Linked DNA regions of Oryctolagus cuniculus. The protein of the gene in region 1 interacts with the protein of each later gene in a pairwise test. Links are inferred from orthologs where the notes say so. Each region holds a gene or a part of one and is shown in the gene's direction. Other genes may lie near its edges. The genes, in order: SALL2, ZMIZ2 and CEP76.

Region 1 (4,425 bases):
AAGCAACATGAAAAAAACAGATCTAATTTGAAAATATATGTGCTTCAGGTTATTTCAATTGTTTGACTACTGAGACTATAAGATATAATTAATAATATTCAAGATTCCCCCAATTTTAACAAGTCCCATATTATTTGTCAAGTTTTTTTTTTTTTAATTTACTTTCTTTTTTTTATTTGAAAGTCAGAGAGACAGATTTTCCATCTGCTGGTTCACTCCCCAAATGACCACAACAGCCAGGGTGGGACAGGTTGATGCTGGAAGCCTTGAACTCCATCTGGGTCTTCCATGTAGGTGGTAGGGACCCAAGTACTCGAGCCATCACCTGCTGAGTCCCAGGACCTGCATTAGCAGGAAGCTGGATTGGAAGGAGAGTAGCCAGGACCCAACCAGGCACAGGCACTCGCATATGGGATGCTGGCATACCAAACTGCACCAAATGCTCTCCCCTTAAAAAAGATTTTTAAATTTTCTTGTACCCTAAATATTTCTCTGAAGAAAATAGTGCAGCTGCCATATTGCCACTTGATGGTAATACCATGCCTCAGTTTACCAGACAGGCTAGGACAGGACTGGGACTGGAACAATGAGGGTAAACTACAAAACCAAGGTCACCTCCTGCATGGAAGGCAAAATATTTTCTGAAGCGAGAGACCCTTTAAGAATCACTTCAAGGTGGAAAGGGAATGCAGAGTACCCGGCTCAGGAGGCATCATTGCCCTCTTTTCCTCTCTGAAGGGAAGGAGGTGCCCCTTCGCGCTAGGTTGGGGCTCAAAGGGGCTAAGGACACCGAGGTGGCCAGGCTGCCTCTGCTGCGTTTCCCCCATTGTTTCGAGCGAGCTCCCCTCCCCCCAGTTACAGCCGGTGGGCCCGCGCAAGCCTCGGGAGGCTGGCATCTCCCAGACCCGCCGCCCCCAGTAGTGAAGGCGAGCCAGACTGCAAGGGAAGAGGGACCCACGGAGGAGATGGCTTCTTCAACAAGCGCCAACCCCAAATGCGCTGTGGCCGGCGACCTGCGCAGTGGCTTGCATTCTATTATTCTGCAGGAGGAGGGGCGGGCAGTAAAGGAGCTTAGTGTTCCTCAGAGACGACTCCTGAAATGAGTTCCTTGGAAATCCTACCTTGCAGCTGCCTACCCTGAGAAACTTCTCTTGTGCAGAGGGACGTAGAGGGAGTAGGATGAGGAAGACCTGACAAAAGTTGGGAGGTTTTTTGTTTTGTTTTGTTTTATTTGGGCGGGGGGCGGGGGTCGCGCTGGTGAGGAGTGGGTGTCCTGGGCTCCTCCTCCCGCTGTGGCCCTCAGGCCTCTGAAGAGATCAGGCCACGCCCCCCCTCTGGAATCCACGTTTTCCAAGCTCAGCGGATCTTTTATCCAAAGAAAAATAAGAGAAGCCCATTGCCTTGCTCTGCTGCGCAGGGCTTCGTTTCCCACTGTGTCCCCTGAGCTTAGGGGGTGGGGTGGGCAAAGACATCTGGAGATGGGGGGAGCTGGCAGAGGGCTGAGAAAGGTGGGTCCACACTGAGCCTCCCCGCACCTGTCACGCAGCCTCCGGAAACCCTCGTAGTGCTGGGCGTCCGCCCCCACCCGTCCCGCGCTCCCCACTCCCGCCTACCGCAGCCCCCGCCTCCCTCGGCAGCCGCTCCTCCCGGCAAGCTCTCCTCCCTCCATCTCCCCTCTCCCAGCTTTCTCGCTCCAGCTCCTCCCCTCCTCCCCGCTCCCCTCCCCCTCCGCCGCTGCTCCCTGCCCCCGCCACCGCCGATCTCCGTCTCCGCAGTCTGGGCCGCTGGGTGCAGAGGCAGTCGCAGCCCCGGCGGCCAGCGGCGCCTCCCCCAATCCCGATACCTATTGTCTCCCACCCCTCCCGACCCCGCACGTCCCCCACAACCATGGCGCACGAAGCCGGGAGGAGCTCCTGTCTCGGGGGTCCCTGCGGGGAGCCGGCGGAGCTCGGAGGTGCGGTAGGGCCGGGCTGGGGCCGGGGCCGGGGCAGGGCTGGGGGCGGGCTGGGGGCGGAGGGGACGCGGGCGCGATCAACTGCATGGTTCTCTGCTTAGGCCCCTTCCTCAAACCCATTGCGCTGGCCAGGGGACCAGGAAAGGGGGGGGGGGGCTTTGGGAGTGGAGGGGAGTAGCGTGCGCACGCCCCGCAGCCGCAGGCTGGAGTGTCTCCTGTCCTGTCGCGGGGGTCAGGACTGAGCTGGAGCCTTCTGCAAGGCCTGATGGTGAGCTCATTTCCCCACCCCCAGCTAGTGGTTCCCGGGCTCTTATTAACCAGAGCCGCCTCTGAATGCTCCACTCAACCTCACCACCCAGGCTCTCTGTCTTCTCCCCAGGTGATGCTAGCGAGGAGGACCACCCCCAGGTCTGTGCCAAGTGCTGCGCACAGTTCACTGACCCAGCTGAATTCCTCGCCCACCAGAACGCCTGCTCTACCGACCCTCCTGTGATGGTGATAATGGGGGGACAGGAGAACCCCAACAACTCTTCAGCCTCCTTGGAACCCCGACCTGAGAGCCACAGTAGCCCCCAAGTCATGGACACCGAGCCCAGCAACCCCCCGGATTCTGTGTCCTCTGGGCCCACGGATCCCACCTGGGGCACAGAGAGGAGAGGAGAGGACTCTTCTGGGCATTTCCTGGTCGCTGCCTCAGGTACAGCGGCTGGGGGAGGTGGGGGCCTCATCTTGGCTAGTCCCAAGCTAGGAGCAACCCCCTTACCTCCAGAATCCACCCCTGCACCCCCACCTCCTCCACCGCCCCCTCCACCCCCAGGAGTGGGCACTGGCCACTTGAACATCCCTCTGATCCTGGAGGAGCTGCGGGTGCTGCAGCAGCGGCAGATCCATCAGATGCAGATGACGGAGCAAATCTGCCGGCAGGTGCTGCTGCTGGGCTCCTTAGGCCAGACGGTGGGCTCCCCCGCCAGTCCCTCAGAGCTGCCCGCGACCGGAACTGCCTCCTCTGCCAAGCCCCTGCTACCCCTCTTCAGCCCCATCAAGCCTGCCCAAACTGGCAAGACACTGGCACCTTCCTCTTCTTCCACCTCCTCCTCCTCTTCCTCCTCCTCCTCCTCCGGGGCAGAAACGCCCAAGCAGGCTTTCTTCCACCTTTACCATCCGCTGGGGTCACAGCACCCCTTCTCTGCTGGAGGGGTGGGGCGAAGCCACAAACCCGCGCCCGCCCCCTCCCCAGCCCTGCCTGGCAGTGCAGAGCAGCTGATGGCCTCTCCTCACCTGGCGTTCCCAAGCACCACGGGACTCCTGGCGGCTCAGTGTCTTGGGGCCGCCCGAGGCCTTGATGCTGCTGCCTCGCCTGGGCTCCTGAAGCCAAAGAACGGCAGTGGTGAGCTGGGCTACGGGGAAGTGATGGGGCCCTTGGAGAAGCCTGGTGGCAGGCACAAATGCCGCTTCTGCGCCAAAGTCTTTGGCAGCGATAGCGCCCTGCAGATCCACCTCCGTTCGCACACCGGGGAGCGGCCCTATAAGTGCAATGTCTGTGGCAACCGCTTTACCACCCGCGGCAACCTCAAGGTGCATTTCCACCGGCATCGGGAGAAGTATCCACACGTGCAGATGAACCCACACCCAGTGCCCGAGCACCTAGACTACGTCATCACCAGCAGCGGCCTGCCCTATGGAATGTCTGTGCCCCCAGAGAAGGCTGAGGAGGAGGCAGCCACGCCTGGTGGAGGTGTTGAACGCAAGCCCCTGGTGGCTTCCACCACAGCACTCAGTGCCACCGAGAGCCTCACACTGCTCTCCACCGGCGCGGGCACAGCGGCCGCACCTGGACTCCCTGCCTTCAATAAGTTCGTGCTCATGAAAGCAGTGGAGCCCAAAAGTAAAGTTGATGAGAACACCCCCCCGGGGAGTGAGGGCTCGGCCATCAGTGGGGTGGCAGAGAGTGGCACAGCCACCCGAATGCAGCTGAGTAAGCTGGTGACTTCGCTCCCGAGCTGGGCGCTGCTTACCAACCACTTCAAGTCCACTGGCAGCTTCCCTTTCCCCTATGTGCTAGAGCCCTTGGGGGCCTCGCCCTCTGAGACATCGAAGCTGCAGCAGCTGGTAGAGAAGATCGACAGACAAGGAGCCGTGGCAGTGGCCTCCACTGCCTCAGGAGCCCCCACCACCTCTGCGCCTGCCCCTTCATCCTCAGTCTCTTCCGGACCTAACCAGTGTGTCATCTGCCTCCGGGTGCTGAGCTGTCCCCGCGCCCTGCGCCTGCATTATGGCCAACACGGAGGTGAGCGGCCCTTCAAATGCAAAGTATGTGGCAGAGCCTTCTCCACCCGGGGCAATCTGCGTGCGCATTTCGTGGGCCACAAGGCCAGTCCAGCCGCCCGGGCCCAGAACTCCTGCCCCATCTGTCAGAAGAAGTTCACCAACGCTGTCACCTTGCAGCAGCACGTTCGGATGCACCTGGGGGG
Region 2 (3,644 bases), on another chromosome or scaffold:
GTCTCTGAAAGCACTGGGCCCGCTCTCTGAGGTGCGGGCTGTGTTGCCTGCCATCGTTCAGGGGACGGCGGGCCAGGTGACCGAGCCAGGACAGGGCAGGAGGGGCCAAGGCGCCGCAGCTCACGCGGGGGCTGCCTCCAGGTGGCGGCCCCTGCGACGAGCTGCGGCTGACTTTCCCGGTGCGGGACGGGGTGGTGCTGGAGCCCTTCCGCCTGCAGCACAACCTGGCAGTGAGCAACCACGCCTTCCAGCTGCGGGACTCGGTCTACAAGACGCTCATGCTGAGGTGAGACCCCTACCCCACCTGCACGGCCCGCCCCGCGCCCGTCCGCGCTCAGCACCGGCCCTCCGCCCATCCCACGCAGGCCCGACCTGGAGCTGCAGTTCAAGTGCTACCACCACGAGGACCGGCAGATGAACACCAACTGGCCGGCCTCGGTGCAGGTCAGCGTCAACGCCACGCCCCTCAGCATCGAGCGTGGCGACAACAAGACCTCGCACAAGCCGCTCTACCTGAAGCACGTGTGCCAGCCGGGCCGCAACACCATCCAGATCACCGTCACCGCCTGCTGCTGCGTGCGTGCGGGCCCCGGGGCTCCAGCCTGGCCCCCCCTCCCGTTACCGCCCTGCGGTTTCCCTCTGAGTCGTTTTCCTTTAAGGAAAGAGCGCTGGCTCCCCACACCCTGTCTTCTGCTTAGACTGCACGTATCAGATTCCATGCTCTTAGCTGTGAGAAACCTCGCGCGGTTCCAAGTCCCCGGCTGAGGACTTGCAGCACGTAGGTCAGGTCCTGGGCAGAGCTGGGCTGGGCCGGGCCGGGCCGGGCCTGGAGCCCGCAGCCTGGCTGCTCCCTGCTAAGGGACTCCGGAGCCAGCACGGGTAACAGGATGCTGTAGGCTGGGGGTGTCCGGGGGGCTCTGGGTGCTTGTGTTTCAACAGAGAGATGAGCACTGGGCAGTGCTTGGACGTCAAGTGCAGGCAGCACAGCACAGGTGTGCTTAGGGAGGGGCGTGGCTAGCAGCACGGGTTGCTGGGCTCACGGCGGGAGGCGGCAGCGCCCTCCCCGTGCCTCCTGCTCCAAGGAGGACGGGGCCCAGCTGCCCAGGAGCATGGCTGGCCCGGTCTGCCCCAGACCCTTGGCTCTCCGCATCCTAGATGCCCTGCTCGCCTCCCAGTCCCCCTGACGGCGTTTTCCGGTCGTGTTGCAGTCCCACCTCTTCGTGCTGCAGCTGGTGCACCGGCCGGCCGTGCGCTCCGTGCTGCAGGGCCTCCTCAAGAAACGCCTTCTGCCCGCGGAGCACTGCATCACCAAGAGTGAGCGCCGCCACCTGCCCCGGCCCCGGCCCCGGCCCCGGCCGAGCGCTGCTGCCCCTGGGCAGTGTCCCCGCCGCGTGAGGCCGTCTCCCGGGCATGGGTCAGTGGCGCCGCGGCAGGGACCGCCGACTCACGTCCTTTCCCCGTTCCTGTCAGTAAAGCGCAACTTCAGCAGTGGCACCATCCCGGGCACCCCTGGGCCCAACGGGGAGGACGGCGTGGAGCAGACGGCCATCAAGGTGTCCCTGAAGTGCCCCATCACCTTCCGCAGGATCCAGCTCCCCGCCCGGGGCCACGACTGTCGCCACATACAGGTGGGTGCTCCCAGCTTCGCCAGTTGATGATTCCTTTTTAAAGGTTTATTTGCAAGAGCGTTAGAGGGAGAAATAGGGGCCGGCGCCGCGGCTCACTAGGCTAATCCTCCGCCTAGCGGCGCCGGCACACCGGGTTCTAGTCCCGGTCGGGGCGCCGGATTCTGTCCCGGTTGCCCCTCTTCCAGGCCAGCCCTCTGCTGTGGCCAGGGAGTGCAGTGGAGGATGGCCCAGGTGCTTGGGCCCTGCACCCCATGGGAGACCAGGAAAAGCACCTGGCTCCTGGCTCCTGCCATCGGATCAGCGCGGTGCGCCGGCTGCAGCGCGCCGGCCGCGGCGGCCATTGGAGGGTGAACCAACGGCAAAGGAAGACCTTTCTCTCTGTCTCTCTCTCTCACTGTCCACTCTGCCTGTCAAAAAAAAAAAAAAAAAAAAAAAGAGGGAGAAATAGGGAGATCTTGTGTGTGCTGGCTCACTCCCTAAATGGCCACCACAGCCAGGAGCCAGCAACTCCATCTGGGTTTCTCACATGAGTGGCAGGGCCTGAAGCACTCGGGCAGGTGAGGGACGCCGGCGTTCTGTGTGGGCTCTGGTCCATGTCCCAGTGGCTGCTCCAGTTCCCATCCAGCTCCCTGTTAACGCACAGGGAAAGCAGCGGGGGATGGCCGGCCTGAGTGTCTGGGCCCGTGATGAAAGATGGCCTCTTGCTCATTTTCCACAGTGCTTCGACCTGGAGTCGTACCTGCAGCTCAACTGTGAGCGGGGGACCTGGAGGTGCCCCGTATGCAAGTGAGTCTCCGAGGCGTGCTGTATGGCGGGGAGGGCTCCCCACTTCTTCAGACTTCTGGGGGTGAGACTGCCAGCAGTGTGACCAAATGTGTAAGCCTGGGGACGTCTGTGCTGGTGTCAACAGCACAGCCTAGGATGGTGTGGCTCAGGGCAGAAACCCTATACAGGGTCACCCCTCGTAGCAACGCCTGACGCAGGGTTCCCTCACAGCGTCACCTTAGGCAGGCCGCTACAGAGTCACAATCAACATAGAGTCTGTCACCTCAGACACTCACAAATGATGACCTCGTGTGTCATGTCACCTCACACAGGGCCACCTCACACAGGGTCACCTCAGTCACCACACCCAGGACCACCTCACACAGGACCACCTCACAGTGTCACCTCAGTCACAGCACAGGGTCACCTCAGTCACCACACACAGGGCCACCTCACACAGGACCACCTCACAGTGTCACCTCAGTCACAGCACAAGGTCACCTCAGTCACCACACACAGGGCCACCTCACAGCGTCACCTTAGGTAGGCCGCTATAGAGTCACTGCGTGTGTCACCTCAGTCAACTCACAGTCTGTCACCTCAGACACTCACAAATGATGACCTCGTGTGTCAGTCACCTCATACAGGGTCACCTCACACTGTCACTTCAGTCACCTCACACAGGGCCTCCTCAGTCACCTCACAGGGTCACCCCACCCTGTGTCACCTCAGTCACCTCACACTATGTCACCTCAGTCACCTCACAGGGTCACCCCACCTTGTGTCACCTCAGTCACCTCACACAGGGCCACCTCAGTCACCTTCACAGGGTCACCTCAGTCACCTCACAGGGTCGCCCCGCACTGTGCCACCTCAGTCACCTCACAGGGACACCCCGCACTGTGTCACCTCAGTCACCTCACACAACGTCACCTCAGTCACCACACACTGTGTCACCTCAGTCACCTCACAGGGCCACCTCAGTCACCTCACAGGGTCACCCCACACTCTGTCACCTCAGTCACCTCACAGGGTCACCTCACACAGGGCCACCTCAGTCACCTCACACAACGTCACCTCAGTCACCACACACTGTGTCACCTCAGTCACCTCACAGGGCCACCTCAGTCACCTCACAGGGTCACCCCACACTCTGTCACCTCAGTCACCTCACAGGGTCACCTCACACAGGGCCACCTCAGTCACCTCACAGGGTCACCCCGCACTGTGTCACCTCACAGGGTCACCCCG
Region 3 (3,644 bases), on another chromosome or scaffold:
GTTATTCTGTACCCTAGTTATATTATCATTTTGAGTTGTACTCTTTTTTTTTTAACTTTTATTTAATGAATATAAATTTCCAAAGTACATCTTATGGATTACAGTGGCTCCCCCTCCCATAACTTCCCTCCCACCTGCAACCCTCTCCTTTCCCTCTTCCTCTCCACTTCCATTCACATCAAGATTCATTTTCAATTCTCTTTATGTACAGAAGATCAGTTTAGCTTTTTTTTTTTTTTTTTTTTTTTGACAGGCAGAGTGGACAGTGAGAGAGAGAGAGAGAGAGAAAGGTTTTCCTTTGCCGTTGGTTTACCCTCCAATGGCCGTCGCGGCCGGCGCGCTGCAGCCAGCGCACCGCGCTGATCCGGTGGCAGGAGCCAGGAGCCAGGTGCTTTTCCTGGTCTCCCATGGGGTGCAGGGCCCAAGCACTTGGGCCATCCTCCACTGCACTCCCGGGCCACAGCAGAGAGCTGGCCTGGAAGAGGGGCAACCGGGACAGAATCCGGCGCCCCAACCGGGACTAGAACCCGGTGTGCCGGCGCCGCTAGGCAGAGGATTAGCCTAGTGAGCCGCGGCGCCGGCCCAGTTTAGCATATATTAAGTAAAGATTTCAACAGTTTGCACCCACATAGAAACACAAAGTGAAAAATACTGTTTGAGTACTAGCTATAGCATTAAATCACAATGTACAGCACATTAAGGACAGAGATCCTACATGAGGAGTAAGTGCAGAGTGACTCTTGATGTTGACTTAACAAATTGACACTCTTGTTTATGGCATCAGTAATCACCCTAGGCTCTTGTCATGAGTTGCCAAGGCTATGGAAGCCTTTTGAGTTCACCGATTCTGTTCATATTTAGACAAGGTCATAGTCAAAGTGGAAGTTCTCTCCTCCCTTCAGAGAAAGGTACCTCCTTCTTTGATGACCTGTTCTTTCCACTGGGATCTCACTCATGGAGATTTTTTTTTTTTTTTTTTTTTTGCCAGAGTGTCTTGGCTTTCCGTGCCTGAAATAGTCTCATGGGCTTTTCAGCCAGATCCACATGCCTTAAGGGCTGATTCTGAGGCCAGAGTGCTGTTTAGGACATCTGCCATTCTATGGGTCTGTTGTGTATCTCGCTTCCCATGTTGGATCGTTCTCTCCCTTTTTTATTCTATCAGCTAGTATTTGCAGACACTAGTCTTGTTTATGTGATCCCTTTGGCTCTTAGTCCTATCATTATGATCAGTTGTGAACAGAAATTGATCACTGGGACTAGTGAGATGGCATTGGTACATGCCACCTTGATGGGATTGAATTGGAATCCCCTGGTATGTTTCCAACTCTACTGTTTGGGGTAAGTCAGCTTGAGCATGTCCCGAATTGCACATCTCTTCCCTCTCTTATTTCCACTCTTATATTTAACAGTGATCACTTTATTATTTATTTGAGAGAGAGTGAGTTACAGAGAGAGAGAGAGAAGTCTTCCATCTGCTGGTTCACTCCCCAAATGGCCACAACGGCCATAGCTGAGCCAATCTGAAACCAAGAACTAGGAGGTTCTTTCAGGTCTCCCACGTGGGTGCAGGGGCCCAAGCACTTGGGCCATCTTCCACTGCTTTCCCAGGCCCTAGCAGAGAGCTGGATCGGAAGAGGAACAGCTGGGGCTCGAACTGGCATCCTTATGGGATGCCAGCACTGCAGGTTGAGGCTTAGCCCACTACGCCCCAGCATTGGCCCTGCCATTGTCTTACAGAGTAAATGCTCAATAAATATTTGAGTTTAATTATATGTGCAGTTAATTTGACTTTTCTCTCCTATAGTTCAGTTTATGGTAGGAGCAAATTAAGCAGATTCAATTTTACTAACTCTTGAAAATTAAAAAAAAAGTGATCTAAAAATTCACTGACACTGTCTTTCATGTGGGTTTTTTTTTTTTTTTTTTTTTTTTTAGATTGATTTGTTTATTGGAAAGACAGTGGCAGAGAGAGAAGAGAGTGAGATAGTGAGAGAGATTTTCCATATGCTGGTTTATACCCCAGCTGCCTTCCACAGCTGGAGGTTAAGTCTCCCCTGTGGGTGGCAGGAACCCAAGTACTTAATCCTTCATTGCTGCCTCCCAGGGTTCATTAGCATGCAGCTGAATCAGAAGTGCACAGTTGCAAAGACTCAGAACCAGACACTCAGATATGGGATGCTGGCGTACCAAGTAGCAGCTTAACCTATGGTGCCACAATGGCTGCCTCCATACTATACAGGAAATGAACCTTTCATGTCACATCACTATATTGAATGTTTTTTGATTATGTTTCTGAGAAGTGAAATCTGGAAATTTATAGTTCCCTTTACTTTTATTTCTGTGCATCCCTATCATAATTAATAGTTTAAAAATTATGAGGGACAAGTGCTGTGGTGTAGCAGGTAAAGCCACCACCTGCAATATTGGTTCTAGTCCTAGCTGCTCCTCTTCCGATCCAGCTCTCTGCTATGGCCTGGGAAAGCAATAGAAGATGGCCCAAGTCCTTGGACCCTTGCACCCGTGTGGGATACCCAAAAGAAGCTCCTGGCTCCTGGCTTCAGATCGGCTCAGCTCCAGCCATTTTGACCATCTGGGGAGTGAACCAGCAGATGGAAGACCTCTCTCTCTCTCTACCTCTGCCTCTTTATCTCTCTGTAACTCTGCCTTTCAAATAAGTAAATAAATCTTTAAAATAATTATAACAACTTGGGGTGGGCGCTGTGGCTAAACCTCTGCCTGCGATGCCAGCATCCCATAAGGACGCCAATTTGAGTCTTGGCTACTCTTCCAATCCAGCTCTCTGCTATATATAGCCTGGGAAAGCAATAGAAGATGGCCCAAGTGCTTGGGGCCCTGCACCCATGTGGGAAACCTGGAAGAAGCTCCTGACTTTGGATTGGCAAAGCTCTGGCCATTGCTGCCATTTAGGAAGTGAACCAGTGGATGGAAGACCTCCCTCTCTGTCTCTCCCTCTCTCTGTAACTCTGCCTCTCAAGTAAATAAATAAATATTTTTAAAAATTATGACAACTTCCAAAAATCGTTTCTTGGCATATGCTAAAATATAATTTACATTTTGATTTGTTTTTGAAAATATTAATATATTTCCCATTTTCTTTTTCTCTTGATTGCTGTAGGATCTTGGCCTTACCACTGTTTGGGAAGACCAGCTTTCCTATCTTTTATCACCAGCTTTGGCTTCTTATGAATTTGAGCGTACAACAAGTATATCTGCAGGCAATGAAGAATTTCAAGATGCCATAAGGAGGGCTGTACCTGATGGTCACACATTTAAAGGGTTCCCAATACATTTTGTGTACAGGAATGCTAGGCGTGCATTTGCCACATGTCTTCGGTAAGATATTATTTATGGATTGATAAATGTTCTCGCTATAGGCATCCTAGATGTTTACTTAGGAATGACATCAGAATCACATGGGGGAGCTGTTAAAATGACTTAGCTTTCTTGTGCAGATTTGATCCATGAGTTCTGGAAAGTATCTACTTAGTTTGGGCCAATTTTCCTAGTGATTTTGCAAAATCTCAGTTGAGAATGTCTAATTTTGTCTAGTGTAATTTTTTACACTTAACACCTATAGACTTTGAGGAAATAGTTTATAATTTGAATAGATCCACTAAAATTAC

The links.
Region 2: the proteins of SALL2 (region 1) and ZMIZ2 interact in binary tests that used the Homo sapiens proteins (3 or more experiments, as listed by UniProt). The two-hybrid records come from large-scale screens. The link is inferred for Oryctolagus cuniculus from reciprocal best matches to the Homo sapiens genes SALL2 and ZMIZ2.
Region 3: the proteins of SALL2 (region 1) and CEP76 interact in binary tests that used the Homo sapiens proteins (3 or more experiments, as listed by UniProt). The two-hybrid records come from large-scale screens. The link is inferred for Oryctolagus cuniculus from reciprocal best matches to the Homo sapiens genes SALL2 and CEP76.

What each region holds. Positions count from the first base shown.
Region 1 is NC_091443.1:53,414,145-53,418,569, forward strand, and holds the start of SALL2 (sal-like protein 2), read left to right. Parts: upstream 1-1,582; 5' UTR 1,583-1,887; coding exon 1,888-1,954; intron 1,955-2,333; coding exon 2,334-4,425. UniProt on the Homo sapiens protein: Probable transcription factor that plays a role in eye development before, during, and after optic fissure closure.
Region 2 is NC_091447.1:52,037,101-52,040,744, forward strand, and holds part of ZMIZ2 (zinc finger MIZ domain-containing protein 2), read left to right. Parts: intron 1-141; coding exon 142-286; intron 287-365; coding exon 366-576; intron 577-1,208; coding exon 1,209-1,314; intron 1,315-1,470; coding exon 1,471-1,628; intron 1,629-2,346; coding exon 2,347-2,414; intron 2,415-3,644. UniProt on the Homo sapiens protein: Increases ligand-dependent transcriptional activity of AR and other nuclear hormone receptors.
Region 3 is NC_091441.1:69,536,911-69,540,554, reverse strand, and holds part of CEP76 (centrosomal protein of 76 kDa), read left to right. Parts: intron 1-3,136; coding exon 3,137-3,354; intron 3,355-3,644. UniProt on the Homo sapiens protein: Centrosomal protein involved in regulation of centriole duplication. Required to limit centriole duplication to once per cell cycle by preventing centriole reduplication.